7 linked regions of the Callithrix jacchus genome follow. The protein of the gene in region 4 interacts with the protein of the main gene of each other region in a biochemical or structural test. Links are inferred from orthologs where the notes say so. Each region holds a gene or a part of one and is shown on either strand. Other genes may lie near its edges.

Region 1 (4,378 bases), on a different chromosome or scaffold from region 4:
CACATATACATTACATTTATAATGTATATGTATTTACATTTATGTATAATTCAAAGGGGGAGTGTCTGAGTGATAGTACATGCTTTTCTGTCTTTAAAGCCCATTTAAGATCTGGAAAAAAGGTATGTCTGTGAACCAGTCTGAGTGGATTTTTCCAAATGAAACCTCAAATAGCGTTTATATCTAAACCCTCACAAACACGTGGGAATATTTAGAGTTAAAAGCAAATTTGGGTGGGGTTACAGCACAGGTTTTATGGTTTTGTTTTGATTTTTAAACACACACAGTCCACACAAACCCATCTGTCTTCACATGAAAGGACCCGTTCTTTGGAAAAAATGCTTTGGCTTCAGATTCACTGGGGAGCTAAAGCCAGAGACCCTGAACTTTTCTCTACGCTGATGGGGGGAGCTGGGGAGGGTGCTTATCTACTTTAATCTACTTTATTGCAGGGGGAAGTACAGCCTGGGACCCCTCTTTGGGGATGCTGTCATTTGCCCCTTCTTCCCATCCTTTATTCTATCCTCAGAACCAGTATGAGGCTTTTCTGGGACTAAGGCAAGGTACAGTGGGGTCAGGCGCTGGAAGGACTGGTTTGCAAAGAGAAGCTTTGGAATGAAGCCGCACAGCTGAAAGCGCGCGACGAGATGCCTGCGCTGTGGCGAGTCAGTTCTCCGGCTGCGCGAAGCCTTTATCCCGACTCCTCTTAGCTTTCTGAGCAGCGTTTGCAGTCAAGTGCAAACAGATCGCATATTCGGTGCAAAGAGCCCTGAGGATGATGGATGTGGGATCGTTCCCCGGTTTCCCCGGGCCAGGTGCTAGACGGTTTGAGGAGGAACTGTTCTCCACTTCTCCACGCCTGCAAACGGCTGGAGGGGGCAAGCGGAGCTGTCCAGCACTAGTGAGGGGCCGGCGCAGCCGCGAGCCCCGCGCACAGCACCAGGCTGAGGCTCAGCCACGGCGCTCTCGCCAGAGCAGACGCTGTCCTCGCTGCCGCCCCGTTCTGGGCTCGCTCTGCGCCCACGCGGCCTCGCAAGAGGCGGTGAACGCAAGTCTCCAGGAGCTGCTCCAGCAGCATGGGCGCCAACATGTTGCCCCCGTCCTTCCCTTCCCGTGTAAGCGTCTCCTCTGGAATGGGCTGGCTGCACGCTTGGCCTTTCCCTTTCGCCTTGTAACTTCCTAAATAAACTCGGAGAAAGGACAGCATGAACCCTAACCTGCACTTCACACTGTCAGGCTTCCCCGAGGTGGCCCTAGGGGGAGGCCTGTCCCCCCCATCCCCGAACCCTTCTCTCCACCAGCGCCGCCAGAGCCGGTGTATTCCTCAGGGCCCAGGATAAGGCGTCTGGGGATTGCGGTCCCTCCGTCCGAACCAAGCTGCTGTGCGCACCTCCTCGGAGCAGGGAGGGCGCGCAGAGGACAGCGACCAAGTGTCCTCGTTGCTCCTGAAACGTGGCGACAGGCGAGGCAGAGACTCCCAATGAGTATGATGGCGACACGTGATAGTGGCGGAGGGAGAGCATGGGGGGGCGGGAGATAAAGGGAGAAGGAGGGAGGCGGGCAAGTGGAGAGAGGCGGGAGGAGAGGGGCGGGAGCAGTGAGGGAAAGGGGGCGAGCGAGGCGCGCAGGCGGCACCAGCCTCTGCCTCCCCGTCTGCCTGGGCCGCAGCCCTCCCCGCCCCGCCGGCCGCGGTCACACACTTGGAGCCTCCCCGGGAGCGGGAGCGCGGTGCACGGCGATGCGCCGAGGCGGGCGCTGAGCGGCGCCGCTTGAGCAGCAGCAGAGGCGGCGGCGGCCCCCAGCCCAGCGCGGCGCTGCCGCCGAGCCCGGGCCCCAAGGTGCGGGAGCACCCCAAGTTCCCGCCATGAGCAGCTGGCTTGGGGGGCTCCGCGGCCCCGGGGGCTCCCTCCCCGCCGAGCGCGACCACAGCGCCCCGGGGCTCCGACGCGCGTAACGCTGCCCCCGGCGGGTCCCGCCACCGCCGCCGCCCGTGTCCCCGCCGCCGCCTCGGCCGTTGCAGCGCCGCCCGCAGCATGTCTCGGAGGAAGATTTCGTCCGAATCCTTCAGCTCCTTGGGGTCCGACTACCTGGAGACGAGCCCGGAGGAGGAGGGGGAGTGCCCCCTGTCCAGGCTCTGCTGGAACGGCAGCCGGAGCCCGCCCGGGCCGCCCGAGCCCAGCGCGGCCGCCGCCGCCGCCGCCGCCCCAGCCCCGGCCGCTTCTGCCGCCGCCGCCGCCGCCACGGCCGGGGCCAGGAGGGTGCAGCGCCGGAGGCGGGTTAACCTGGACTCGCTGGGCGAGAGCATCAGCCGCCTGACAGCGCCCTCGGTGAGCAGGGGCCGGAAGGGGGGACTGCCTTCTTGGGAGAGGACACGGATCCGTAAAGTTGGCGCCGGGTGAGCCGGGCGCGAGTGCAGAGCCCGACCGCTTGGGGGCGGCCCGGCCTCCCCCCACCCCGCCCGGCCCCGGGTTCCAGCGGCTCTGGGCTGCAGCAGCTCTCCTAGGCTAGGGTGGAAGTGGAGACTAGAGCGGTGAGAAGTAAGATTCCACTCCTTTGGGGTCTCCTGATTCGGGGGCCCGTCTGCCCACCTCCAGCCTTGAACCCCGCTTTCCCACTGTTCCCCCTGGACAGCCCCAGTGCTGCTTCACACCCACCTGTTTTCTGTCCCCCAAACTTTCCCAGGCACTGTGTTCTACAGTTCGGATCCCCTGTCTTTCATCCTGTTCTCGAGCATCCCAAAGGAGCCCCAACCCCTTCCAGGAAACCCTTCCTCTCCTTATTTCCCACACTCTCTTGGTCTCAGCGTGACCTTCCTTGACATCTCGGAATCCCACAGGCTATCTGCATTCTGTGTTACATCCTTTTCCTCAGATCTTCAGACACGTTTTGCCAGATACTTTTCTGAGTTGCCTTCTGATGAAGGAATCTCAATTCTCGAGTTCTCCCAACCCCATAGCTATTTTTTTTTCTTTTTTCTTTTTTACTTATCCGCTAAGCATTTATTCTTTTCTGGATAAAACTGGTGTCTGGTTTTCTTCTCCTCTTTTTTTAAACTTTAATTTAATTTTAAGTCCCAGGATCCATGTGCAGGATGTGCAGGTTTGTTACATAGGCACAAAATGTGTGCCGTGGTGGTTTGCTACACCTACCAACCCGTCTCCTAGGTACGAAGCCACACCTGCATGAGCTATTTAAACTGCGCTATACTTCTTGCACCTGTACCTCATCCTTTACCATCTCTTCAATGGATTCCCTAGTGCTTTCTCTCTCATTTTTTGATGGATTCTTTATACTAGGCTCTTCCTGAATATTTACGGAGAGAATAAATGCCTTCCTAGACCTCTCCAACTTGTGCTCATCTCGGGATGTCTGTATTAGCAGGTTCAGGTGTGCACCAAACTCCCCCTGGTCGTAGGCATCCTTCGAGAGTACTCCTGCCTCATTCCCACCCAGGCATTTCAGCTACCCTTGGCTTTTACCTCTTGCTGGAATGCCAGACCTCTGGTCCAGTTTTTCCCTGTCTGGGTGAGCTCTGTTTTGAAGGAATGCATTCTACTGCAGACAGAATTTGAAAAGGACTCAGTGTCAATCTTCCTCAGTCTCATCTTTTATCCTCACCCTGACCTTGGATACAAGAGCTTTAACTCTTCCTGACAGCACTTTTACCTACTCGCCCCTAGGACTTTTACATTCAGAGTTTCCAGAATGAATCTGAACATTGATCTTGTTTGATTACTGTTGAGTCTCTCTTTTGAGGTTACTACTGCAGTTGATGGTGGGAGGGACCGAAGAAGGAGTGGGACCCTGAGGGGACTGAGTACTGGTACCGGGCAGTTCTTCAAATATTCTTGTGGCACTTGCATTAATGGAGAATGATGTTTTTCTTTTATGAGACCTTATTTAAGATATATAAATTACTTATTATGTTACTTATTTTGAACTAATTTAGTCATTAGGAACACATTGAGAAAGTCATCTTGCTCTTCTTGTGTATTTTCCTATTTGATATATCTTTCTGCCACTTTTTCTTTATTGATAACCTAGAAAACAATCCTCAGGATAGGTTGGGTTTCTTTTTGCTGTTCTTACCTGCCAATATTTCCCAGGCAATGTAATTTTATGAATTATTTGGTGTGGCAAATTGTTGAATATAAGTCTTTATAACAGGAGTCCAGTGACCCCGAGCATCTGTAGGCTTTTGTCAGTACCTAAAGCAACATTTGTGCAATGTGATAGTTATTCAGTACAACAGATTCTTATTTAATGAAATGATTTTGCTAAATATAATGATGAGTTTGTGATTAGTTTGGGGAGAATTGTTGATATAACCTTGGAGTGATTTTTTTTTAACTAAGAATTAGAATTTACAAATTTCTAA
Region 2 (4,166 bases), on a different chromosome or scaffold from region 4:
TCTGATTCTATGCAACCATCTTCCAGTAATTTATATTGTTAATCAAAAAGCCGTATAGGAATTCTCTGGGAGATTGGGACTGGAAATCCACTGTTCAATGGGATGATTTATAGGTTTTGCACAGGGTGTGTTAAATCACCAGGTGCTGAAGGGCATGCTATTCTTTTAAGTAGTTTGATTCATTGGGTCTTTATTCACCTGGGCAGGCAGGCCATCTTCATTTTTCTTCTGTTTGGATAGTGTTCTTTCTCAGCATCCTATAAGTGTAGCTCTTTTGGCATGAAAGATGTAAATAACCAGTTAGTCCCTAGTCGGGATGGGGACAGAGAAGAAGGTCTTGGGTTTAGTTTCCTTCCATATGTAGAGATAGTCCCTCTCCAGGAACCTCATTGACTTAGCTGATAGAGAAAGCACTGCGTGAGCTATTCAGGCGGAGCACAGAGAAGACTGATACAAATGCAGTTTCAGTGCTTTGATGCTGGCTGATAGGAAGTTTTCCTTGCTCAGCATTCTTGGTAAAAACTTGGAGATTCTTTTGAATGTTTGGGGGCCTAAGTGATTGTCAATTTATATTTTTATTTTTTGTGAGTGTATGTGGTGAGGTGGGGAGGACATCGGAAGAAATTATTTTTTTGCTTTGATAATGAAGATGGATGGGAAAAGTTTGCACTATAAAGCAGATGTGTTTATGACTGTTCTTCTTAGCCACAATCCTTTACATTAATGATGAACTACTTGAGGATTTCAGATGCTTGTGTTTTTCAAGTGTGATCCCCTCCCCTTGAAGGGGTAGATCTGTGGACGTGCAATGGAATGGAGCATTCCAGGATGAAACAGGCCTTCCTGGAACTTAGATTCTTTATCACACTCCCCAGGGGAGTTAATTTCAAGTTGCTGCAGCTGCAGGGTGAAATTGCCCAATCTTAGGTGCTCTTATTGATGGGTGGGAGGGAGTGAGATTGCTTAAGAAATTTTATTATCTTTAGAATCGAAGAATTTATTATGTTTTTTTTTTTAAGATGATCTCTTTCAGGTAGGCTAAGATAATTTTGAGCTCTGACTGTCCAAGCTGCTTAGAGGTTCTGAGTTGTTCTCCACTGGGGGTGGTGCTGCCACTCTCAAGCGGTGTCTGGACGTGCATGGGAGTGTTTTTGTTGTCATGGTGATGGGGGGAGGGCAATACTGGTGTTCCACAAATGGGAGCCAGGGATGACGTACATACTGCTTTGCCCAGGACATCTCTGCAAGGTGAGTAATTTTCCTATCCTAAATGCCAATAGTGTCCTCTGAAGAACCTCCGAGAAATGTGGCTTTGCTTATAATGCTCTTTAGTGCTGATGGACTGCCTGATTGTAGAGGTGAGAGGTGCATAATGAAAAAACAAGCGGGATGTAAGAGCCTTGGGGGCAGGGGATAAAGACTGGTGACTAGTGTTTAAATGGAAACGGAGAAGGGTAGTTCAGTTATAAACAGCTCAGTTTAAATCTCTCATTGCTCAGAATTGAGAGGCTCCTCAAGTAGTGTATCTCATTCTGCTGGCATTTGGTTATTGGAAAGGCACTTTATTTCAATTACTAAGCAATTATTTAAGTAATCTTTGAGATCAACTATGTTGAGAGCTGACTGGATTCTGTGGGCTGGATACTCAGACACGGCCAGCTTGGAGAGGATGGTGGGGGATGGTCACTAGGATGCTGGCGATGCCCTAAGGTGGCGGTCCCCAACCTTTTGGGCACAAGGGACTGATTTCATGGAAGACAATTTTTCCATGGAGAGTGGGGTGGTGGTGAGGGAGGGATAGCTTCAGGATAAAACAGTTTTACCTCAGATCATCAGGCATTAGATTCTTCTAAGGAATGCGCAACCTAGATCCCTCTCATGTGCAGTAGGGTTTGTGCTCCTTTGAAAAGCTAATGCAGCCACTGATTTGACAGGAGGCAAGCTCAGGTGATAATGCTCGCTTACCTGCCTCTCACCTGCTGCTGTGTAGCCTGGATCCTAACAGGCCATGGACCATTACCGGGCTGTAGCCCTGGGTCTGGGGACCCCTGCCTCATGAAACCTGTTGGTAGTTTGCCATGCAAATAGGGCTGGCAAGGATCAGCCTGGGGCAGCTGGAGGGGCTGCAGGGTGTTACCATTCTCTGCTAGCAGCCTCTTGGTGAAGCACCTACCAGCCTGCTCACTGGACTCATGGTTGCGGCGAGGTTCTGGGGATTGAAGTGGAGCTTCAAGCTCTTCTCATTGTCAAAGTCTATATGCTAGTTCAGGCTTTACCTACCCAGAGCGATCTTCGCTTTTAACTCAGTTACTGCCTGAGTAGTCACCCTCACACTCTTTCGCTTGGCATTCAAAGCTCTTTTTTCTCCATCTTCCCAGCCTTGTTGCCTACTGCTCTCCAAGAGGTTCCCACTGCTTGGGTCATACTTATTAGATCCTCACCCATGCTAAGTTTCTGTCAAGTTGTTTTTTTTCTTAGAGACAGGTTTCGCCATGTTGGCCAGGCTGAACTCCTGGTCTCAAGTGATCTGCCCCCCTCGACCTCCCAAAGTGCTGGGATTACAGGCATGTGTCATCACGCCTGGCCTGTCAAGTTGTTTTGACCCTACACACAAAGCCTGGTCTCCCTCTTCACTTCCCCAAATCCTGCTCATTCACAAAGACCCAGTGTAGTCTTATAATTCTTCATGAAGACTTCTCTGATGACACCAGCCTGCAGTGTTATTTCCCCCACCAAGGCCAGTTGGTTTTTATTATCTCCATTGTTATTTGGAACCAAATTGTCTATTGTCATGTGATATAGGTTTGGAGTCAGACTGCCTCAGTGTAAATATGTGCTCCACTACCTACTAGCTGTGAGACTTGGTCAAGCCTTATTGTCTTGTCTATGAAATCGGGCCATTAATACCATTTCAGAAGGCTGTTGTGAGGGTGAGTAACGTAATTCATGGGAAACAATTAAAATACTGCTGGCAAGTCTGGGTGAACAAATGCTGTCATTTTCTTTGCAGGACGTGGAATGATAAAATAGGTACAGGCTCTGGAGTCACACAGACTTTGGGGCTAAATCAGACTTTGACATTTGCTACCTTCGTGGCCCTGAGGGAATTGGTTAATGTCACTGAGGCTCAGATTCTCTTCCATTAAATAAGTATAAATCTCACATCATCCAGTTCAAAGAAGATCCATCCAGTGAATATGTATAAAGCTTTACATATTGTCTACATAGTAGGTGCTCAATAATTAACAGCAATTGTTATTGCATGGATATTTAATTTATAACATAAATCACTTTTGCCCCCAATAAACTTATAGGTTCTGTCAAAACAGACCATATCTTATTTTTCTTTTTTCTTCCACTGATCCTAGGATAACTGCACATAGTAGTTATAAATTCATTTGTGGCTTTAGTGAATCTGGCATCATATTCTTTTGGCCCTTATTTATTTATTTAGCACTTAAAATCTGTGTCTACATGATAATGCATCAACTTGCATTGTAGGTTTTGTCCTCAAATCTTTGACTTCTTGAAATGTCCTTATAGTATTGTTTTGTTCTAAGAAAACATCAGGGCTCTGAAACAATAATTTGGACGAAGTAGTCTATTCAATGGTTTATAAACTGGATTAGGAAAAAAAAAAAGAATTCCTGTCACCTATTTGGTGATCTGTAAGGAAAACCAGGCAGTTAAAATGTTGCACAGAAAGAGAATAGTAGGTTGGTTTGCTGTTCATGGCTTGTTTCAGTTTCATTAACTGAATCCTTGACTATTCCATCAATTTGACACTAGACAGGGTAGGGTGCTTTACATAATTTGTCACCCTTGGCCGTCATCACTATAGTGTAAAGTTTTAGAAATAAGCAGATAACCCTGAATCTTCAAAAGGAGACTGGCCTTGTTTATGTGGGCAAGGTATGGGAATTGCAGTGAACTGTCAGCCAACTTACGAATATCAGGAGTTTGTCTATCAATACCAAAGGAATCAAAATTAAGTAGAGAAAAAGTGAAGCAAAAATTATGGATAAGGAATTGCCTTTTAAATTTGTTTTTCTTTGAGTTTAGTGAAGGTGGGACTATTAAAATATGATTTAGTTGTTGACATTTTAAAGAAGAGGACATGTACCTCCTCAGGTAGACCAAGTGTTAGGAAGGACCAGCATGTGTTA
Region 3 (4,393 bases), on a different chromosome or scaffold from region 4:
ATCACTAAGATAGAGATCCTCGGGCTGCTGGGCCCTGTGGAGCACGCTTAAACCCCATTCTCCACAAAAAAGGAAAAGAACAAAAAGACAAAATAATAATAATAAGCATAAGACAGAGACTTCCCGGAGCCAAACCTCTAGCCTGCTTGATTCTGGCAGGCCTCAGACAGGCGAGCTGTCTACTTTACCGTTTTAATGTGGTCCAAAGAAATAAGCAAGAAACAAGGAGAAACCCTTCCTCAGATAGAAACTTCAGCCAGTCCGCATGAAAGGCCCAAGAAGTTTTTAACCAGACGTTCCTGCTTTAGGGGACCAAGGACTTGCCCGAGGTCCCGGCTTGCAGCTAGGTTTAACTTTCAACTCAGTGACCTTTTCCTTATTTTAATGCAAAAATTCACGCTCAGAGGTGGAGATTTAAAATGCGAATGATACATAGGTTCTATGAAGAAGTGCACCAGAAAATCTCCACCTCTATATGCTCTGTCCATAGTTCCCCTATGTCCCCTTATGGGAGAGGCCCGTAAAAGAAACCCATACCCTGACTTCGAGGAGCAGCCCACTTTTTTTTCTTGGTGTTAGCTCCCTTGTGCGCGCAAGATTTAATTAAAAGAAAGAAAACCAAAGAAACTTGCTTTCTGCTAAGATCTCCTTGATTTCTATCCTGAGGGATCCAAAGAGCCCTCGGTCGGTACCAGAGCCGTATTTCTTTTTGCAGCAACAGGTTATCTGCGGGCTCTTCCCCGCTTTCCAAAGCCCCCAGCCCCGGGCCCACCCTGGAACTCATTCATCTCTCCAACCCTCTTCCCGTAGGACTGCTGCTTCCCTTGCACAGCCCCTAGCCTGGGCCTGATTCCAATTTCGTAACATTCCCCTACCCGGGGTGGAATACAGGTTGAAAGTCGGTCTCCTCCGCACCCCGGAGGCCCAACCCCGACCCTGAAGCCACTCAACTCCTGTGTGCAGGGAAGGCGGAGACTGGGGGATCTGGGCGCGCTGGCAGGCACAGGAGGGCTCCCCGCCTGCAACCTCGCCGGAGGTGCCCCGGGCTCCCAACCCGACAAACCCGCTTTGGGAGGGGGTGGGGTGTGGAGAAGAGGACGAGGCTCGAGGGGAGATCTGGAGAAAGCAAGTTAGGGAGTGGAGAAGATGTCCCAAAGGACCCCATTTTCAGGACTGCACCTCCCGGGGAGCTCCCCGCTCCCAGGCCCTCTGGGGACTCCCGCGCTGCCGTCGAAACCCCCATTCCGGCCCCAAAAGGGACACTTCTCCAGGATTTGCTCCTCTCCTCTGGGGACCGCAGCCAAAGACTCCTGGAATCGATCCCGGATCCTGGGAGTCTGGGGGCCCGGCCAGAGTGCGGGGAGTCGCGGCGTCGTGACTGCGCCCTCCCCGCCGCTCCTGGAGGCGCCCCTGGCGACCGTCGCGAACGCCACACCCTCGGCTCGGCCCTGGCCCCGCCCCCGCCCGGCGCGCGTTCGCGGCCAGGGGAGGCGTGTGCTGCTCCCGCAGCCAGCGAGAGCGAGAGAGGGATGGATGTTGGAGGAGCAATTCGGGCTTAACAAGTGATCACTGCTGTCTAGGATTTTGCTTCTTTTCGGGGGAACCTTGACTTCCTTTCCCAGGCAATCCCTCCTGTACTGAACTCCAGAGGAACCAGGAGTCTTGGGGTCTTCTCTGGGGCAGCCCCGACCCCCACCCCCAGGCTCCAGCCGCGAGGACTCTGTGCCCCCCGCCGGGCCAGGCAACAGAACTTGTTCCGTGGATATTTGGAGCCTCCACCTGCCAAACCCGAGTGATTCCCTTTAACACTCCAAGATCATTCTTCCCCTCCTCCAGCTGTTGCAGCTTGAGGGGGAAAAACAAGCCAGCCGGTGGATTTTCTTTATTTTTATTTTTCGCCCCGCCGGGGAACGGTAAGTATGATACCTTTTCAAAAAAACCCTTCCTCCGCCCTCTTCTTTTGGCTGTTAAGAAACAGTGGACCTCTGAGGGATAAATAATATCGGGAATGTGACAGAAGGGCATGAATGGAAGGCGGTTAAAAATAAACCAGGAGGTGGGAGAAGGGAGGTGCGGATGCTGCGCGGCGCTCCGGGGGGCCAACAGTTGTTATTTTCCCAACCCTGGGGATGCGGTGAGTGCGCCCTGGCTAATGTGCTGGAGCGGGAACTGAGGTCTGGAGGCGAGGGCGCGATTAAAGATGTCGTTTCCCAACGAGAGGGTTAAGATTTAGCATCGTTTCGCCTCCTCCGATCCTCACCGGTTCCCTTCCTTTGGGAACAGCTGGTGAACGGGTCTGAATTGCTGCCTTTCCCAATGTTTGGATTCGCGTGCATTTTCCGAGCATTTGAGCAACATACATAGGGGCTGCATAAATGGCGTGCGTTGAAGTGTATATTTCTCACGGTGTTGGCTTTTCTGATTCCCTCTCTCTCTCTCTGTCTCAGTTTCTCTCTCTGTCTCTGTCTCTCAGATAAGGTTCAGGTACCACCCTGACACAGTTGCAGGAATTGGCACTGAGAGACGGACAGCCTTGTTGTTGGGGGTGGGGGGCGGTGAGAGGAGGAGGGGCGGGATGTTTGGCTGTTGTTTGGGGGGGGTGCGCCGGAATTAGGGAATAGGTAGTCTGCAAAATCCTGTTAGTTTAATGGTGTTAAAGAAGAAGACAAATTCCTCTGCAAAGATCACTCTCATAAAGGCTCCTGGGAATTGACTTGAATAGACTCTCTTAACAGGAGTACCTTGAGAAAGAAGAGAGATTTTAAAACCAGTCTGGTTTGCTGGAGGAATGATTTTTCTTTTCTCTTCTTTCTCTCCCTCTTTCTTTCTAAATCAGAGATAGTGAAGTAACTAATAGACAATAAAAAGAAGGCAATTTGCTATTTGTCTGGTGGAGGAGGGAGTTAGATAAACAAAAACTAATAATCCCAAATAAATAAATAAATAAATCCCAAATAAATAAAATAAATGTGAAATTATTTGGTGTAGAGCAGAAAGAGGGCAGTTCTAGATCTCCCGAAGAGATGATGGTGAATTAGAAGACTCTCTAATTCATGACCTTCTGGGAGTCAGTTGGGTGGGAGGGCAGGTATGTGTAGTACTCAGGTATACAGGAACTTGGGCTACACTGGGGCTTCATTGAAATGATCATTTTGGGGGAGCTGGGGAAGAAACTGAGCAAACTCTCAAGCTATCTGGTCTGTGCAAGTCTTGAAAGGATGTTGGCCTGACACTCCACAGTGAATATCACCCCAGGATGGTTTTGTAAGCAGAGATTTAGAGACTCCTTGAGGGTAAACATTTCAGCGTATGAGATGTTAGCAGTCAGGCCAAGGAAGGGAGCTAGCATGTGAGATGCCCTCAGTGGTGTATTTTCTGGGGTTTGTGTCACAATCAAAATGCCCTTCTTGCCTAGGAAATTGAGTATGATTGGGAAGGGGTATATGATTGGGAAGACTTCTGTTTGCCACTTCTATGCTTGTCACTTCGTGAAATTCAGTGTGTTTAGGCTGCTAGGCTGACAGGATCAGCAAGAAGCAGCAGGTGGTCAAGAGCTGAATCCTGTTAATGGCTTCAAAAAGCCATTTCTCTTATGCTTTCCAAGTGCTTCCAGTAATAGAAGCTGGTAGATGCCCTGAATTCTGGCTATCATCATTCTCTCCAGTTCTCTGGGTTACTCCCTGCATTCTTGGAAGTCTTGTTGAACAGAGTACATGGAAAAGTCAAGAGGAGATAGGAGATTTGGATGGCGGCTTTTACAGGACTTGGCTGAGGAGATGAATTACCTGGATCTTGGGAGAACAAACTAAGGAAGAAGAAGGACCAGGTGACAGAGGGAGCAGATCAGAGCTGCAAGGGACATGTGATTAGGAAGTGGAAGATTGTAAATAAAAGTGGGCAAAGAGAGAGAGACGGAGAGAGGAGGGGGATGTTGGGGATGTGGATTTATTGAAGTGAAGGTGGGGGTGTATTATAGGCTAAGAATGAAGTCCACACAAGCTGAAATTTAAAAACTAAGGAGATAGTCCCTTGAGCAGAGTGTAGGAGGAACCACTGAGGTGAACATGGGGCGACCACAAGGAGAGAAAATGATTATTAGGGAAGTGGAAACTGGCATTAGTTCCTAGTCTGTGGGTGGTATGGGGTGTTCAGGATTAAGGGGGACAGAAAAACAATGGGGACATGCTACAGGGAGTCAGGCAGTGCCAAGTTAACACAGGCCATTGGTGAGTCTCAAGATGTCCTGTATGTCCTCACATTCCATCTTCCCTTACTTTAGTGGCCTAAGGACACAAACATTTGGGACTGTGTAGATAGACAATAAAAACATAGGTTACTGTCATGTTATTCATAACTGCCAGTGTTTCATTGCCATTCATTAGGTAAAAGGCAC
Region 4 (2,860 bases):
CATGTCACTCCCCCTTGGCCAACCTCCCATTCCCCACCTCTCCCTGTCCTGTGTCTCTCCAACACTGCTGTCTGTCCTTTCCTGCCACCCGCTGGCCCCCCTCCGCCCACCCTGCCTGCCCCCAGGGGAAGCACTGCATCCTCGATGTCTCGGCCAATGCCGTGCGGCGGCTGCAGGCGGCCCACCTGCACCCCATCGCCATCTTCATCCGCCCCCGCTCCCTGGAGAATGTGCTGTGAGTATGGTCCTGGGGGCCTCCCCTCTGCTCCCCCACATTTGTGGCCCTGGGCCTCACAAGGCCTCTGCGGTGAAACTCTCCCTTCAGAACCCTGGACAGCGGTCCCAGCAGCCCCTGAGGTGGGGATCCCTGGAACCCAGGGATCCATGAGCACCTGGAATCCAGGAGACCTGGAACCCAGAGGATTCGGGCAATCGTGCCTTTCCCTTCCTTTCCTGCCTGGGGCTAGACAGGACTACATCTCCCAGCAGCCCCTGGGGCACACCAGCTGGGGCAAGCCAGGGCCTTCAGGGCTGTTGGGAGTTGGAGTCGGAATCCCATCTCTGGGGCTGAAGGCTGGAAGGATGAAGCTTGGGAGATGGCCCTGGAGTAGCCACACCTGGCTGGGGTGGTTGTGGGTGGGGGCTCATCTGTGGTCCCAGAGGATATTGGGAATTGTATTTTTTTTTTTTTTTTTTTTTTTTTGCTGTGTGCTCCAAATAGGAGAATACTAGTTGCAACTTAACATTCCTGGATAGAGGAGGTGAAAGTCAGGGTCAGGTGGGCCCAGTCTCAGGCCTGCGCTCCCTCCCGCTTCACAGAGAGATTAATAAGCGGATCACAGAGGAGCAAGCCCGTAAAGCCTTCGACAGAGCCACCAAGCTGGAGCAGGAGTTCACAGAGTGCTTCTCAGGTGAGGCTACGTAGGGCACCTTTGCTCGGATTAGAAAGCACTCCCCCCTCAATCCCAGTGGATGGTTTAGAAAAAAAGAGGTGCGCCCCTGTGGGCAGATGCGGTGGCTCACGCCTGTAATCCCAGCACTTCGGGAGGCCAAGGTGGGTGTATAACGTAAGGTTAGGAGTTCAAGACCAGCCTGGCCAACAAATACAAAAAGTAGCTGGGTGTGGTTGTGGGTGCCTATAATCCCAGCTATTCAGGAGGCCAAGGCAGGATAACTTGAACCTGGGAGGTGGAGGTTGCAGTAAGCTGAGATTGCGCCACTGCACTTTAGCCTGGGCGACAAGAGTGAAACACCATCTCAAAAAAAAAAAAAAAAGAGGTGCCCCAGTTGGCGGGTGCAGCCCTATGACTCATGGCTTGGAGAATTAGAAAGAGGTGCCCCTTCCTCTGGGCTGCTACTTCCTTGGCCAGGCATCTTCTGACCCTTGGCCTCACTCCCTGCTCCACCCTACTCCCAGCCATCGTGGAGGGTGACAGCTTTGAGGAGATCTACCACAAGGTGAAGCGTGTCATCGAGGACCTCTCAGGCCCCTACATCTGGGTTCCAGCCCGAGAGAGACTCTGATTCCTGCCCTGGCTTGGCCTGGACTCGCCCTGCCTCCATCTCCTGGGCCCTTGGTCTGGACTGAATCGCCCAAGCCCTTGGCTCCCCCCGGCCTCCCTCCCACCCCTTCTTATTTATTTCCTTTCTAACTGGATCCAGCCTATTGGAGGGGGGACACTCCTCTGCATGTATCCCTGCACCCCAGAACTGGGCTCTTAAACACCAGGAACCTGGGGTCTGGGGGGGAGCTGGGCTCCTGGTTCCGAGCCTTTGCTCCTTAGGACTCCCACCCCCCACCCGCCCCCAATGCACACACAGACCCACCGGGGGCCACCTGCCCTCCCCCATCTTCTCCCACACACATTCCAGAAGTCAGGGCCCTCTCGAGGAGCACCCGCAGCAGGGATGCAGGGCCACAGGCCTCCGCTCTCTCCCGAGGCAGGGTCTGAGGTCACCCCTGCCCTCATCGTAATTCCCATGTCCCTTGATTTCTCATTTATTTTTTCCACTTTTTTTCTTCTTAAAGGTGGTTTTTGGGGGGAGAAGCAGGGGACTCTGAGGCGGGCCCCCTGCCTTCCACACGTCCCCCACCTTTTTTCTTTGCCGGTTTGCATGAGTGGAAGGTTTAAATGTGGCTTTTTTTTTTCCTGGGATTTTTGTTTTGGGGAAAAGGGAGGGATGGGTCTAGGGAGTGGGAAATGTGGGAGGGGGGGTGGGGGGCAGGGGTCAGGGGTCGGGTGTCCGGGAGCCAGAGAAGACTGGAAATGCTGCCGCCTTCTGCAATTTATTTATTTTTTCTTTTGAGAGAGTGAAAGGAAGAGACAGATACTTGAAACTCGGTGTGTGGCCTGGTTATTTGGGACCTGGGTGTGGAGGGAGATGGGCACAGGGATGGATGGGTCAGGTAGAGTCAGATCCTTCTTCCCTCCAAACCAGAGCAGTTAGAGTGGCCTGAAAAACGGGCCATGGAGGTAACTGGCATATCAAGGAACTAGAGTTGGTGAGGATGGCCTGTGAAGGGCTGGAGCTCTGTCCAAAGTCATGACAGGTCAGAAAGAGGAGGCTGGAACTCGTAAGGGACCCTGCAAACTTCGTCCAGCTCTGATCCCCCCTGGGCTGTCTCAGTCCTGTTGGGTAGCACAACAGTCCCTAAAGGAAAATAGAGAGGAAACTTTCTTCATTCATGTTCATGGAGTTGTGGACAGAGCGAGGCTCTGGGAATGATCTTTACAGAGGTTTGCCGATAAGAAATGCTGTGTGAATATACATTGGGTTTCTTTATGCCCTCTCTCTTTTTTTTTGAGATGGAGTCTTGTCCTGTTGCCTAGGCTGGAGTGCAGTGGCATGATCTCGGCTC
Region 5 (4,375 bases), on a different chromosome or scaffold from region 4:
AGATTATTTATTTGCACTAGAGCAGCAGTGCAGAAAGGTAGGGATCCTTGGAGCTGTTGAGATTGAGGGATATGCCTGTGGAAGGTGGAAAAGGGGCCGAGTTTAATATGGGAAGGAGGAGTATAGGAGAAGTGATTGTTCATGAAAGAAAAGCTGGGGTATGGATCTGAAGGAGGGGAGGGAACATACACTTTTGTTTTTCTGAAAGGAATGCTGGCGTCTGAATCTGGAGGAAGGATTTAACTAGTTCCAGACAGGGACTGTTGCACTGCCCGGGCAATCCCGCAGAGGCCCCGGCTTTCCCCTAGCCACAACAGAGCGGGGAGGATGCAATCATTGGCTTTGATTAAGGAGGTGGGTGGTGTAGGCGGGAGGCCACGCGAATCGCGGTGGTGAGAAGGGTGGTCTCAAGGCCGCGGGAGAAGCCAATCAGCTGCGACTCTGGGCTCTTGCAGCCTTCTTAGAGACTCCGCAGCCCTGGAAGTACCAAGCTGCCTGCTGCCTTTTCTCTCGCTGCAAGCGCGGAGACGCAGCGCCTCTGGGGGCGCAGCTCCAGCCGCACTCATAGGGCACGGCGCACGCCCCCGGCTCCTGCTGCCATGCGCCTCTGCGGGGGACCCTTTCCGAATAAATTGCAAGCTTTGAAAGTGGCCCAGTGGAGGCACTAGGCTGGGGAAAGAGGCTGCGGGAGGAGGGACAGAGGGTGGGAGGTGAGTAGGCGACTTGCTTCTCAGATTATTCCCAATTAGCACCAAGTTGGCAGACAACCCCACAAACCCACGAGGCCTTTGGTCCCCCACAAGTCACATTCTCTGTATTTCAGAATAATCGGTTCGTAAGAAAACTTCAAGTCCCATCGTAGGTTAAAGAGGGACAGGCTCTTAGCACCGCCGCCGCCCAGTAAAACTACATGGAAAGAACCCGTGGATCCTCAACTGCTGGGCTCTGCCCAAAGTCTGCAGCTCTGCGAGTCCAGCCGGCGGGGGGAGGCTGGGTGGACCCCGCAGAGAGCAAGGGCCTCCTTGAGGAAAGAGCGGGATGGGGCGCAGAGCAGTGCGATCGAAGAGGGTTACTGTGGGACTGCACAAAAGCAAACCCATCGGAGGAGTTTTGCCAGAAACACCACCTCCTGCATTGCGTCGGACCTGACCATTTCCAATGTGAAATTCCCGGGGAAGGTCGCGCGCCGCTAGCGGCAGTGCGTGGGCGGGGCAGGGCGGTGGGTCACAGGGGAAGTAGAGTTAGTGGTCGACTTTTCTGGTAGGAGAGGAAGAAGCTGTGCTGGCGAGGGTGGGAACTGAATGACAACCCCGCTCTCTTGCAAACCACCCCCTCATATTTTCCATCCACCTCCTCGCTCCTGCCCTCCCCCGCCCTCCCCAACCCACGCCCGGGTGGGCCAATCGCTGCTCCGTATTCCAGGCGCTTTCTCAGGTTTCTGCTGATCTTGCAGCGCCCAGAAATGGACAGAGCGGACCCGCCGCCGCAGGCACTCTGCCCGACTCCAAGCTCCTAAGGGCTCCCCGCGCGCCGCGTAGCCTCGGCGAGGTCCTCGCAGGGGTGCAGAGAGCGAAGGGAACTGGAGAGCCATGTAGATCCAGGCTCCTACCCGCCCGCCTCCTTCGGGATCGAATCAAGGGCTCGCATAGTGTTAGGAGGGGGCGAGAGTGCTGTTTATCGTCATTTGCCTCGGAGCTTCGGGAGAGGGTGGTATTTTGCTTTTCCGCCCTGCATCCTCCGGAACTCCCTGCACTGGAGAGAGGACGGCGTCTCCAGGTTGCTGGCAACCAGTGAGAATGGGGGTAGGAAATGAACATTTTCGCCGTTGCTGCTCCGTAACGCGATTGTCCAACTGAGAGGGGCGTCGGACGAGCGGACCAGGGAGGCTAGTTTGCCCGGCGCGTCTCGGATGCTGGCTGTGGTGACCGCCGGGGCTCCCGCCAGGGCACTGCAAAGGCGACCTGCCGCATTCCCAAGCCGGCTCTCCGCGGACGCAGCACCGCCCCTGCGCCAAGCCTGCTGGCCAGGTAGGGGGTTCCCCAGCTCCGGGCCGCAGAAGCGGGGGTTGGGGCGCGGGGTTGGGGAGGCCGGGGGTGTGGGGATGCTGCCCGGGACCCGGAGCTTCCCCCGGTGTCTCTGGGCGCTTTTCCGATCTCTAGTTTAACGAAGTTGTAAACAGATCGGCTGTTGGGCATTGGGGAATGTGGGATGGAAGAGCCCCAAACTTGGATTTCCGGGTGTCTGCGTGTCTGTCTGTCCGTGTGTGTGTGATAACCCTAGCAAACGTCCAGTGCTTTCTCAAGCTAGAGGTCTGTGTTCTTCGGTGTCTGTAGGTCCGTCCCATCGGAATGCTTCTGATTTTCTACCCCCGTATCACTTTCTATTTCTCTGCAGCGTCCATCGATCGCCCTGGTGGGAGCTTAGAAGGCGGCAGGCGAAGAGGGGTAGGAGGGGGGAGAGCCGAGGAGAAGCAGAGAGGGTGGCAGGCGTGGGGATCTGCTGAGCCGGCACTGCACCGGGTCCTAGGAAGGCTCTCGGAGGGGAGGGGAGGCCAGGGCGACCCCCGAAGCGATGGCCCGGTCCGCTAGAACAGCACTGCGTTAAGGCTCCTCGGATCAGTAAAAATTATCTTAAAAAAGAAAGAAAAGAAAAAAGCCAACCCCAACCCAAATCCAACCCTCGGCAAAAAGCTGCACCGGCCAGCAGGCAAGGGGGATTCCAAATTGAGTGAAAAGCAGGGTGGAGGGGAAAGCAGCGCGAGGCGAAGTCGCATATCTCCCGAACTGCTCGCTTTGAATCCCCTCCCCCTGGGCGTGAGGGAGACTCGCACTCCGGTGGGGGGGCCGCTTGGGTCCCCCCCACCTCCGGCTCCTGGCTCTTTCCCACCCCGGGCTCTCTCCTGGCCTCCCACCCCCCGCGCCCGACTTCCACCATGACGGTGATGTCTGGGGAGAACGTGGACGAGGCTTCGGCCGCCCCGGGCCACCCCCAGGATGGCAGCTACCCCCGGCAGGCGGACCACGACGACCATGAGTGCTGCGAGCGCGTGGTTATCAACATCTCCGGGCTGCGCTTCGAGACGCAGCTCAAGACCCTGACGCAGTTCCCCAACACGCTGCTGGGCAACCCTAAGAAACGCATGCGCTACTTCGACCCCCTGAGGAACGAGTACTTCTTCGACCGCAACCGGCCCAGCTTCGACGCCATCCTCTACTACTACCAGTCGGGGGGCCGCCTGCGGAGACCGGTCAACGTGCCCCTGGACATGTTCTCCGAGGAGATCAAGTTTTACGAGTTGGGCGAGGAGGCCATGGAGAAGTTCCGGGAGGACGAGGGCTTCATCAAGGAGGAGGAGCGCCCTCTGCCCGAGAAGGAGTACCAGCGCCAGGTGTGGCTGCTCTTCGAGTACCCAGAGAGCTCGGGGCCCGCCAGGGTCATCGCCATCGTCTCTGTCATGGTCATCCTCATCTCCATCGTCATCTTTTGTCTGGAGACGCTCCCCGAGCTGAAGGATGACAAGGACTTCACGGGCACCGTCCACCGCATCGACAACACCACGGTCATCTACAATTCCAACATCTTCACGGACCCGTTCTTCATTGTGGAAACCCTGTGCATCATCTGGTTCTCCTTCGAGCTGGTGGTGCGCTTCTTTGCCTGCCCCAGCAAGACGGACTTCTTCAAAAACATCATGAACTTCATCGACATTGTGGCCATCATTCCTTATTTCATCACCCTAGGCACCGAGATAGCTGAGCAGGAAGGAAACCAGAAGGGCGAGCAGGCCACGTCGCTGGCCATCCTCAGGGTCATCCGCTTGGTAAGGGTTTTTAGAATCTTCAAGCTCTCCCGCCACTCTAAGGGCCTCCAGATCTTGGGCCAGACCCTCAAAGCTAGTATGAGAGAGCTAGGGCTGCTCATCTTTTTTCTCTTCATCGGGGTCATCCTGTTTTCTAGTGCAGTGTACTTTGCCGAGGCGGAAGAAGCTGAGTCGCACTTCTCCAGTATCCCCGATGCTTTCTGGTGGGCGGTGGTGTCCATGACCACTGTAGGATACGGTGACATGTACCCTGTGACAATTGGAGGCAAGATCGTGGGCTCCTTGTGTGCCATCGCTGGTGTGCTGACAATTGCCCTGCCCGTACCTGTCATTGTGTCCAATTTCAACTATTTCTACCACCGAGAAACTGAGGGGGAAGAGCAGGCTCAGTTGCTCCACGTCAGTTCCCCTAACTTAGCCTCTGACAGTGACCTCAGTCGCCGCAGTTCCTCTACTATGAGCAAGTCTGAGTACATGGAGATCGAAGAGGATATGAATAATAGCATAGCCCATTATAGACAGGTCAATATCCGAACTGGCAATTGCACCACAGCT
Region 6 (4,344 bases), on a different chromosome or scaffold from region 4:
CATAAACAGCCTGGAAAGCAGTTCACCCACCATTGTCTATGAGGCACCAAGGGGTGCATTGGAAAGATGTCGCCGAGCGAATCATGAGCTTCCCAAGTTTCCTCTGACCCCAGTCAATGCGTTTGCTCTGATTTCAAAACCAGAAACAGCCAGTGACAGACTGTTTTTAAATTTCAGAACTGTATCAGCTGCAGAAAAACTAACACTTGCCTCAACAAAGTAACCTTTTATTTCCTGGGATACAAATAAAGAGAATAAATTATCAGAAGTATTCCTCCAATATCATTAAAATGCTTTTTGAAGAAAGTTACAAGAGTTGTTTAAGGCGCACAGAAAAAGTCAGATTTGCCTTTCCTCCAGAACATTCTCTGCCCTAGACACAAAGCACCAATACCACATCCCAGAAAAATCAGAGGCTTGGACACACAAGAACCAGAACAGCTCATACCAAGATCTCTGGCTCAAATATAAGTATCACAGAGAAACATCAGGTCAACTCTCTCTTCCGTAAATACAACATGTATCTTGAAAGCATATCCAAAATATCTCTATCTGAACTACAGTACAAAAAGCCACTTACCAGCCATAAAAATAATATTTTCCCCTATACTCAAATATAATCATATGTAAAGCAAACTTGGAACACATGGATGGAGGGGTTACATAATCTCTTGGGATCTGGGCTATTTAGAGTCATTTTTGTTTGGGTTATCCCTCTGCTGGGTATAGGCTACAAATACATCCATCTCACAGCACTCGCCATTTCAACAGCTCCTGCGTCATGGAACGTGGTACTTTTTAAAAATAGGCGACCCTTGGGTGTCATGGAAAGAAGAGGGAAAATGGGGGGATGGAGGGAGGGAGGAAGGGAGGAAGGAGAGAAGTGAAAGGAGAGGGTAGACTGAGGTTACAGTGTGGCTTCCAATACTCTGCGGTGTAATGTAGATACCCATGTTCAGCAAGCCTCCCATTCCCTACCCCACTGCCACCAGTCTGCCTGAATCTCCATTTACAAATCTGTTTCCCGGCTGGCATCCAGGCAGAGGGCATACAGGGACCTCCGCAAGTCCACGTTGCTCTTGGCCTTGACGTTACACTTCTCCAGGGGACAGCTGCCCCTTTGGGCGTTGTCTGCATTCTCCAGGGTCACCCCAGCCTTGCAGAAGGATCCCCTGCTCCCGCTGACCTTCCGCTGGACTCCTCTGTCCAGCCCCGGCCCCTGGCTCTGAATGCCCTGCTCTTCCTTAAGGACTGCCGGCTCCTCGTGGTCCGTCTCCCGGTGGTAGAAGTAGTTGAAGTTAGAGACGATGACGGGCACAGGTAGGGCGATGGTGAGGACCCCGGCGATGGCACACAGCGAGCCCACGATCTTGCCCCCCACAGTGATGGGCCTCATGTCCCCGTAGCCCACAGTGGTCATGGTGACCACTGCCCACCAGAAGGCATCAGGGATGCTGGAGAAGTGGGTCCCCTGGTTGTCAGCCTCCGCGAAGTAGACGGCACTGGAGAATAGGATGACCCCGATGAAGAGGAAGAAGATGAGCAGCCCCAGCTCCCTCATGGAGGCCTGCAAGGTCTTGCCCAAGATCTGCAGCCCCTTGGAGTGGCGGGAGAGCTTGAAGATGCGGAACACCCGGACCAGGCGGATGACTCTGAGGATGGCCAGGGACATGGCCTGCTGCCCATTCTGGCCGCCTCCTCCGCCCCCCGGCTGCTGCTCTGCCAGCTCGGTGCCCAGGGTGATGAAGTAGGGGAAGATGGCCACCACGTCGATGATGTTCATGATGTTCCGGGAGAACCCTGCCTTACTAGGGCAAGCGAAGAAGCGCACGAGCAGCTCGAAGGTGAACCAGATGACGCACGTGGTCTCCACGATGAAGAACGGGTCGGCCAGGGTCCTGGGCAGGAGTGGTGCCACTGTGGGGCCAGAGGGCTGACCCACAACCCCACTGCCGTTGGCCCCAGAGGCGGGCGCGGGAGGCTGGTGGGGCGCCGGTGGGTGGCGGAGCAGCTCGCGTTCATCCCTGAACTCGGGCAGGGTCTCCAAGCAGAAGGTGATGATGGAGATGAGGATGACCAAGACCGAGACGATGGCGATGGCCCGCGCGGACCCAGAGCTCTCCGGATACTCGAAGATAAGCCACACCTGGCGCTGGAACTCGTTGCGAGGCAGGGGCTTCTCCTCTTCTTTAATGAAGCCCTCATCCTCGCGGAAGCGCTCCATGGCCTCGTCCCCCAGCTGGTAGAAGCGGATCTCGTCCGCGAACACGTCCAGTGAGACGTTGACCGGCCTCCGCAGGCGGCCCCCCGACTGGTAGTAGTACAGGATGCCATCGAAGCTGGGCCGGTTGCGGTCGAAGAAGTACTCGTTCCTCAGGGGGTCGAAGTAGCGCAGGCGCTTGGCGGGGTCCCCCAGGAGGGTGTTGGGGAACTGCGCCAGGGTGCCCAGCTGCGTCTCGAAGCGCAGCCCGGAGATGTTGATGTGGACGCGCTGGTGGTGCAGAGCCGCAGCGCCCGGAGTCTGTTCCTCCTCCGCGCCCAGGCCGGGGTCGCCTTCTTCCTCTTCGTCCTCCGGAGGCGGCCGCCGAGGCTGTGGCGGCTCCTCGGGCAGCCGAGGCAACGGCCGCGCTCCCGGATCAGCGCCTCTCTGCGCGCCGCGTCCCCTTGGCGCCGGCTCCTTGGGCCCATCGCTGAGCCCAGCCGTCGGGGGACACTGGAGCTCTCCCCCTGTGGCCTGGCCGAAGCCTGCCCGGGCCTCATCGCCTCCTCTGACCGTCATGGCCCCGCCGTTCTCCAGGGGCACCAGGGCGATCTCCATGGCGCGGGGGCAGGGGGCATGCTGCGCCCCAGCTGACCGGCTCCCGCGCCCCCTACTCACGCTCCGCTGGCGCCTCGCTTCGGGCTCCGCTCTCGCGGTTGGCCGGCCCCCTCTCTGGGGCGAGCTGGGGTTGCTGGCGCGATCCCCTCGCTTGGTCCTGACGTCAAGAAGCCGCTGCCCTGCTCTCTGCCTCTCTCTCTCTTCTGGCAGCCGGTTACCAAGCAGCCGAAAAGCCTCCTTCCAGCAGATGCAACCTTCAGCCGCCCCTCTTTGGCTGCGCCGCGCTTGGCCTCCACCCTGGGCGCCTCCCCCGCCTCCTCCCCCGCCTCCCCCTCCTCCCGCTTCCCCTCCCCCCCGCCTCCCCCCCCCCCCCCCGCCCGCTTCCCCAGCCTGGTCTCGTGGCACCGAGTGTCTCCCGGGAGGGCGCAGCTGGGGCCCCTAGCAAGGGAAAGGAGGGGCCGAGAAGGGTGCAGCCCCGCGGAGGGAGGGAAGGAGTGGGGAGGATGGAGGAACAGGTTGTACCGAGAGCGCCGAAATTCCCAGGGCAACCAGATGAGAATAGCTCTGGATTTCAGTTTCACCTGGGAACCCGCTGGAAGCCGAGTGGACTCCAGAAGGAACGAAGTGCCTTGGGTTAAAAGGACAGGCTTTGAGCTGAGTCGGAGTACGAGAGACAGAGACGGGAGACAACAGTCCTTTTTACTCTGGAGAGATAACGGTGTTTCTTTGGGAAGAATTGCAGACGGGAGGGGGCGTGGAGTAGTTACGGACCTTGAAATACATATTATCAATGGAGAAGCACCTCTCTTCCCGTCTTCCTACAGATCCACAAAAAGGTATGACGGGGTTGGAACCTTGCAGCGTCCCCATACCCTGCCCTGTTTCTAGTATGGACCCAGTGGCAGCCCAGGCAGGCAGCCTAGTCAAGAGATGAGCTGTCTGGTCTCAAACCAGCAGAACCCTTCCACCCCCTGCAACGAATTCCATTTGCAAAAGCCACAACAGGGCAGGAGGGGAGAGATTTTTACAATTCTGGTGAGGGCCGATCCTGTCTGGTGAACCTTGGAGCTAGCAACTGCATCAAGGTCCATGAAGGGGGCTGAGGGTGGAGGTGGTGTATGAGAGGGAGCCAGGGAGATACTGCAATCTCCAAGGCTGGAGAATTCCCAAGAGTGGAATAATAACAACCAGTACTTACTTGGCTCTTATTATGCACCAGCCCGTTCTCAGCACTTTAAAATAATGTCTCTGGGTATTCCTACAGCAACCTATTTTGTAAATACTATCATCATCACCATTTTATAAACGAAGAAACTGAGGCACAAAGAAATTGACAGACTCACCCAGGCTCATGCGGGTAGAAAGTGATGACGCTGGAACTCAAATTCAGAGTTTGGCCCTCATCCCCTATACTTCATCCCTCTTCAGAAATGCATAATGCCCTTTTCTGATACAAGCCCTCCTCACTCTGACATCTGGCCTGAGAACTTTAGTTCCCTGCTGCAAGAGGCAGAGGGTGGCTGATA
Region 7 (4,395 bases), on a different chromosome or scaffold from region 4:
GACCTGTGAGAATTATATAACATTTTCATGCACCCTTACATAAACAATTAGAAGCTGTTTACTTCTCAAGGACCCAATTAAAGATATTTTGTTTTTCGAGCCTGAACTGAGGACACTACAGGGGCCAAATGAGAGAAGGGGCTTGCAGTCCTGCCGCACTGAATATTCATGGCTGTGCCCCCACCCCAATATAATCCATTTCGCCAGGTTAACAACTCACTCATTTCAAAGCGATTCATTTGCCAACTCAAAAAAACACAGATACAACTTTAAATGCTTTCGGATTTTAATCCTCTGGAGTATTTATATGTGTTCTTGTCTCATCCCTCCAAAACTAATCCCAGAGTTTTGAGAATCTGGGAACTTGGGAAAAGGAGAAAACAAGCAGCAGACCAAGGAATCTGAAATGGTAGTTCATGACGTCAGCCGAAACTGACAGTACCTTTGTGTTGGTACTGACCTAGCTCAAATTACAAAATCACAAGAGTAATAAAACACAAAATACAGGTGTTATCACTGACAAGTCTAAAATGTAATTAAGCATGTTTTTTTTCCCCTCGCAGTCGTACCGTTTGCTCTGTATCTCAACGTTTCTGTCTCCCTAAGCCTCTCCCTTTATCATGAGCACACACCGTTGCATCTTGCTCACACATTCATTAGCTGGGACTGAGGAGTGAATACGATGCCAGCGGGTCCTCAGCGTTAGCTGTTAGATGCACAAACCTTCGCATCCTTTCCACTTCCACTGCACTTGAGGTTCAACAGAAGATCCCTGCAAGAACAGCGCCCAGAGAGCATTCTGAACAGATGCGCCCTTGGCTCCAGCAACCCGCTCTGCTGGGAAGTTTCCTCTAACCACTAACACCCACCTCTGATCCCCCAAGCTGTCACGACACAGGCTGGCTGGGTCGCCTCTTGACGGGGGAAGGGTTTTACACACACCCTGCTAGGCTGCCCCATGCCACAACCAAGCTCGCAGGGCAAACTCCTTCATGCCCGGCGGGCAAGCAGTCCCAGGCGCTCTGGCGCTTCCAGAACACCAAGGTCCCCTCCTCGCTCCAAGGAGCGAGCGCTCTCTGCCGCAGGGAACCCCCAGGACTGCAGGTCGAGGGGATGCTGGGGAAGCAGGGGCGCAGGAGGGAGCCTGGCGCGGGAGGCAAACGGGGCGCAGCAGCGGCTGCGGGAGCACTTGGGGGCCGCGGGAGGGGGCGGGGCCCCTCGGGGGAGCCGGGCGCGGGAGGGGGTGCGCGGAACAGGGACCTGGAACCAGCGGGCGCAGGAAGGGGCGCGTCCGCAGGAACCCGCGGGCCGCACGGGAGGCACTAGCTCCGCGATCAGCTCCGGACTCTCAGGAGCGGCTCAATTGCCAACTGGAGTGGGGTGCGGGGAGTTGGGGGGGGCAGACCCGACGGGGGCGTGCCTTTGCCCCGATTGGCTACAGGAACCTGACGCGAGGCCCCGGGGGTTGGCTTGGGGAGGTGGGAGCGGGGTGGGGTGGGTGCTGGGTGCCGGAGCTGCGGGCCCGGCGCGCTCAGAAACATGCTGAGGTCCCGGCGGCTCTTCCAGCAGCGGCAGCGGCGGCGGCGGCGGCGGCGACAGCGACAGCGCTCGGATCCGGCGGGAAAGGCGCCCGGCGCCCATGCCTCCGGCCCCGCGCCGTGGCTGTCCTGACCCGGCCGCGACCTCCCTCGGCGCACCCCGCCGCCCGGGCTCCTGGGGTGTTCCCTAGCCACTGCCCAGCCCCGCCACACCCACCGCCCCCGGCCTCCGCAGCTCGGCATGGGCGCGGGGGCGCTCGTCCTGGGCGCCTCCGATCCCGCCAACCTGTCGTCGGCTGCGCCGCTCCCCGACGGCGCGGCCACTGCGGCGCGGTTGCTGGTGCCCGCGTCGCCGCCCGCCTCGCTGCTGCCTCCCGCCAGCGAAGGCCTCGAGCCGCTGTCGCAGCAGTGGACGGCGGGTATGGGCCTGCTGATGGCGCTTATCGTGCTGCTCATCGTGGCGGGCAACGTGCTGGTGATTGTGGCCATCGCCAAGACGCCGCGGCTGCAGACGCTCACCAACCTCTTCATCATGTCCTTGGCCAGCGCCGACCTGGTCATGGGGCTGCTGGTGGTGCCGTTCGGGGCCACCATCGTGGTGTGGGGCGGCTGGGAGTACGGCTCCTTCTTCTGCGAGCTGTGGACCTCGGTAGACGTGCTGTGCGTGACGGCCAGCATCGAGACCCTGTGTGTCATCGCCCTGGACCGCTACCTCGCCATCACGTCGCCCTTCCGCTACCAGAGCCTGCTGACGCGCGCGCGGGCAAGGGGCCTCGTGTGCACCGTGTGGGCCATCTCGGCGCTGGTGTCCTTCTTGCCCATCCTCATGCACTGGTGGCGGGCGGAGAGCGACGAGGCGCGCCGCTGCTACAACGACCCCAAGTGCTGCGACTTCGTCACCAACCGGGCCTACGCCATCGCCTCGTCCGTGGTCTCCTTCTACGTGCCCCTATGCATCATGGCCTTCGTGTACCTGCGGGTGTTCCGCGAGGCCCAGAAGCAGGTGAAGAAGATCGACAGCTGCGAGCGCCGGTTCCTCGGCGGCCCGGAGCGGCCGCCCTCACCCGCCCCCGCGCCCGCGCCGCCGTCAGCGCCAGGACCCCCGCGCCCCAACGCCGCCGCCGCCGCCGCCCCCCTGGCCAACGGGCGCGCGGGCAAGCGGCGGCCCTCGCGCCTCGTGGCCCTGCGCGAGCAGAAGGCGCTCAAGACGCTGGGCATCATCATGGGAGTGTTCACGCTCTGCTGGCTGCCCTTCTTCCTGGCCAACGTGGTGAAGGCCTTCCACCGCGAGCTGGTGCCTGATCGCCTCTTCGTCTTCTTCAACTGGCTGGGCTACGCCAACTCGGCCTTCAACCCCATCATATACTGCCGCAGCCCGGACTTCCGCAAGGCCTTCCAGCGCCTGCTCCGCTGCGCGCGCAGGGCCGCCAGCCGGCGCCACGCGGCCCACGGGGACCGGCCGCGCGCCTCGGGCTGCCTGGCCCGGCCCGGTCCTCCGCCGTCGCCCGGGGCCGCGTCGGACGACGACGACGACGATGTCGTCGGGGCCACGCCGCCCGCGCGCCTGCTGGAGCCCTGGGCCGGCTGCAACGGCGGGGCGGCGGCGGACAGCGACTCGAGCCTGGACGAGCCGTGCCGCCCCGGCTTCGCCTCGGAATCCAAGGTGTAGGGGCCCGGCGCCCCGGAACGGCTTCCCGGGGGATCTCGGAGATCTGTGTTTACTCAAGACCGAAAGCAGGTGAACTCGAAGCCCACAAACCTCGTCTGAATCATCCAAGGCAAACAGAAAAGCCACGGACCGTTGCACAAAAAGGAAAGTTTGGGGAGGGGTGGGAGAGTGGCTTGCTGATGTTCCTTGGGTTGTTTTCCTTCTTCTTCTGTTTGTGGTCCGGCCTTCTTTTGTGTGTGCCTGTGATGCATCTTTAGATTTTTCCCCCCAGGTGGTTTTTGACTCCACGAGGATGGGAGTGGAAGCTGGGTGGGCAGGGGAAGGGAGAAGAAGCATTAGGAGGGGATTAAAATCCGATCAACCTGGCTCCCGACCCTGTCCCAGGAACAGGGGCAGTCTACCAGCCAGAGAGAGGAGAATGACAGTTTATCAAGGCATATTTATTTCCTTTTGCTTTCCAGAGAAATTTCATTTTAATTCCTAAGTAATGGTTTCCGCTGTTATGAAAGCGAAAAGGATGGATGCAAAAAAAAAAAAAAAATCACGTTTCAAGAAATGTTAAGCTCTTCTTGGAACAAGCCCCAATTTGCTTTCCTTGTGTAGGGCAAACCCTCTGATCCCCCGCGCGCCTGGATGGTCAGGCTACGGGATTTCTACCTCACACTGTGCATTTGCACAGCAGATAGAAAGACTTGTTTATATTAAACAGCTTATTTATGTATCAATACTAGTTGGAAGGACCAGGCGCAGAGCCTCTCTCTGTGACATGTGACTCTTGTCAATTTAAGACAGGACATGAAAAGAGAGAGAGAGACAGTTTTGATTACTGCACATGTGGATAAAAACAAAAACAAAAAAAGGAGTGGTTCAAAATGCCATTTTTGCACAGTGTTAGGAATTACAAATTCCACAGAAAACATTACTTGCACAAAAAGAAGTTAAATATTTTTTAACTGGGGAAGTGGTGGGCAGATCTTAAAAACTAAAATAAAATTCAAGCTCTACTTCTGTTGTCTAGTATGTTATAGAGCTAATGATTTATTGGGAAAATACCTTTTTATACTCCTTTATCATGGTACTGTAACTGTATCCATATTATAAATATAATTATCTTAAGGATTTTTTATTTTTTTTATGTCCAAGTGCCCACGTGAATTTGCTGGTGAAAGTTAGCACTTGTGTGTAAAT

What was found.
Region 1: the proteins of DLG4 (region 4) and GUCY1A2 interact in a test that uses a peptide from one of them, tested with the Homo sapiens proteins (2 studies listed by IntAct, with this or other methods). The link is inferred for Callithrix jacchus from reciprocal best matches to the Homo sapiens genes DLG4 and GUCY1A2.
Region 2: the proteins of DLG4 (region 4) and LRP2 form a complex in vitro, tested with the Homo sapiens proteins (2 studies listed by BioGRID and IntAct, with this or other methods). The link is inferred for Callithrix jacchus from reciprocal best matches to the Homo sapiens genes DLG4 and LRP2.
Region 3: the proteins of DLG4 (region 4) and KCNA4 form a complex in vitro, tested with the Homo sapiens proteins (8 studies listed by BioGRID and IntAct, with this or other methods). The link is inferred for Callithrix jacchus from reciprocal best matches to the Homo sapiens genes DLG4 and KCNA4.
Region 5: the proteins of DLG4 (region 4) and KCNA1 form a complex in vitro, tested with the Homo sapiens proteins (3 studies listed by BioGRID and IntAct, with this or other methods). The link is inferred for Callithrix jacchus from reciprocal best matches to the Homo sapiens genes DLG4 and KCNA1.
Region 6: the proteins of DLG4 (region 4) and KCNA5 form a complex in vitro, tested with the Homo sapiens proteins (2 studies listed by BioGRID and IntAct, with this or other methods). The link is inferred for Callithrix jacchus from reciprocal best matches to the Homo sapiens genes DLG4 and KCNA5.
Region 7: the proteins of DLG4 (region 4) and ADRB1 form a complex in vitro, tested with the Homo sapiens proteins (2 studies listed by BioGRID and IntAct, with this or other methods). The link is inferred for Callithrix jacchus from reciprocal best matches to the Homo sapiens genes DLG4 and ADRB1.

What each region holds. Positions count from the first base shown.
Region 1 is NC_133511.1:6,897,822-6,902,199, reverse strand, and holds the start of GUCY1A2 (guanylate cyclase soluble subunit alpha-2), read left to right. Parts: upstream 1-1,566; 5' UTR 1,567-2,033; coding exon 2,034-2,327; intron 2,328-4,378. UniProt on the Homo sapiens protein: Has guanylyl cyclase on binding to the beta-1 subunit. Isoform 2 acts as a negative regulator of guanylyl cyclase activity as it forms non-functional heterodimers with the beta subunits.
Region 2 is NC_133507.1:60,177,032-60,181,197, forward strand, and holds the start of LRP2 (low-density lipoprotein receptor-related protein 2), read left to right. Parts: upstream 1-1,248; 5' UTR 1,249-1,270; coding exon 1,271-1,358; intron 1,359-4,166. UniProt on the Homo sapiens protein: Multiligand endocytic receptor. Acts together with CUBN to mediate endocytosis of high-density lipoproteins. Mediates receptor-mediated uptake of polybasic drugs such as aprotinin, aminoglycosides and polymyxin B.
Region 3 is NC_133511.1:95,334,476-95,338,868, reverse strand, and holds the start of KCNA4 (potassium voltage-gated channel subfamily A member 4), read left to right. Parts: upstream 1-1,505; 5' UTR 1,506-1,913; intron 1,914-2,036; exon of another isoform or gene 2,037-2,134; intron 2,135-4,393. UniProt on the Homo sapiens protein: Voltage-gated potassium channel that mediates transmembrane potassium transport in excitable membranes. Forms tetrameric potassium-selective channels through which potassium ions pass in accordance with their electrochemical gradient.
Region 4 is NC_133506.1:73,680,627-73,683,486, reverse strand, and holds the end of DLG4 (disks large homolog 4), read left to right. Parts: intron 1-125; coding exon 126-235; intron 236-819; coding exon 820-911; intron 912-1,417; coding exon 1,418-1,524; 3' UTR 1,525-2,338; downstream 2,339-2,860. UniProt on the Homo sapiens protein: Postsynaptic scaffolding protein that plays a critical role in synaptogenesis and synaptic plasticity by providing a platform for the postsynaptic clustering of crucial synaptic proteins.
Region 5 is NC_133510.1:18,518,657-18,523,031, forward strand, and holds the start of KCNA1 (potassium voltage-gated channel subfamily A member 1), read left to right. Parts: upstream 1-1,458; 5' UTR 1,459-2,027; intron 2,028-2,394; 5' UTR 2,395-2,932; coding exon 2,933-4,375. UniProt on the Homo sapiens protein: Voltage-gated potassium channel that mediates transmembrane potassium transport in excitable membranes, primarily in the brain and the central nervous system, but also in the kidney.
Region 6 is NC_133510.1:18,649,549-18,653,892, reverse strand, and holds KCNA5 (potassium voltage-gated channel subfamily A member 5), read right to left. Parts: upstream 2,935-4,344; 5' UTR 2,819-2,934; coding exon 1,010-2,818; 3' UTR 207-1,009; downstream 1-206. UniProt on the Homo sapiens protein: Voltage-gated potassium channel that mediates transmembrane potassium transport in excitable membranes. Forms tetrameric potassium-selective channels through which potassium ions pass in accordance with their electrochemical gradient.
Region 7 is NC_133513.1:106,982,661-106,987,055, forward strand, and holds the start of ADRB1 (beta-1 adrenergic receptor), read left to right. Parts: upstream 1-1,510; 5' UTR 1,511-1,779; coding exon 1,780-3,207; 3' UTR 3,208-4,395. UniProt on the Homo sapiens protein: Beta-adrenergic receptors mediate the catecholamine-induced activation of adenylate cyclase through the action of G proteins. This receptor binds epinephrine and norepinephrine with approximately equal affinity.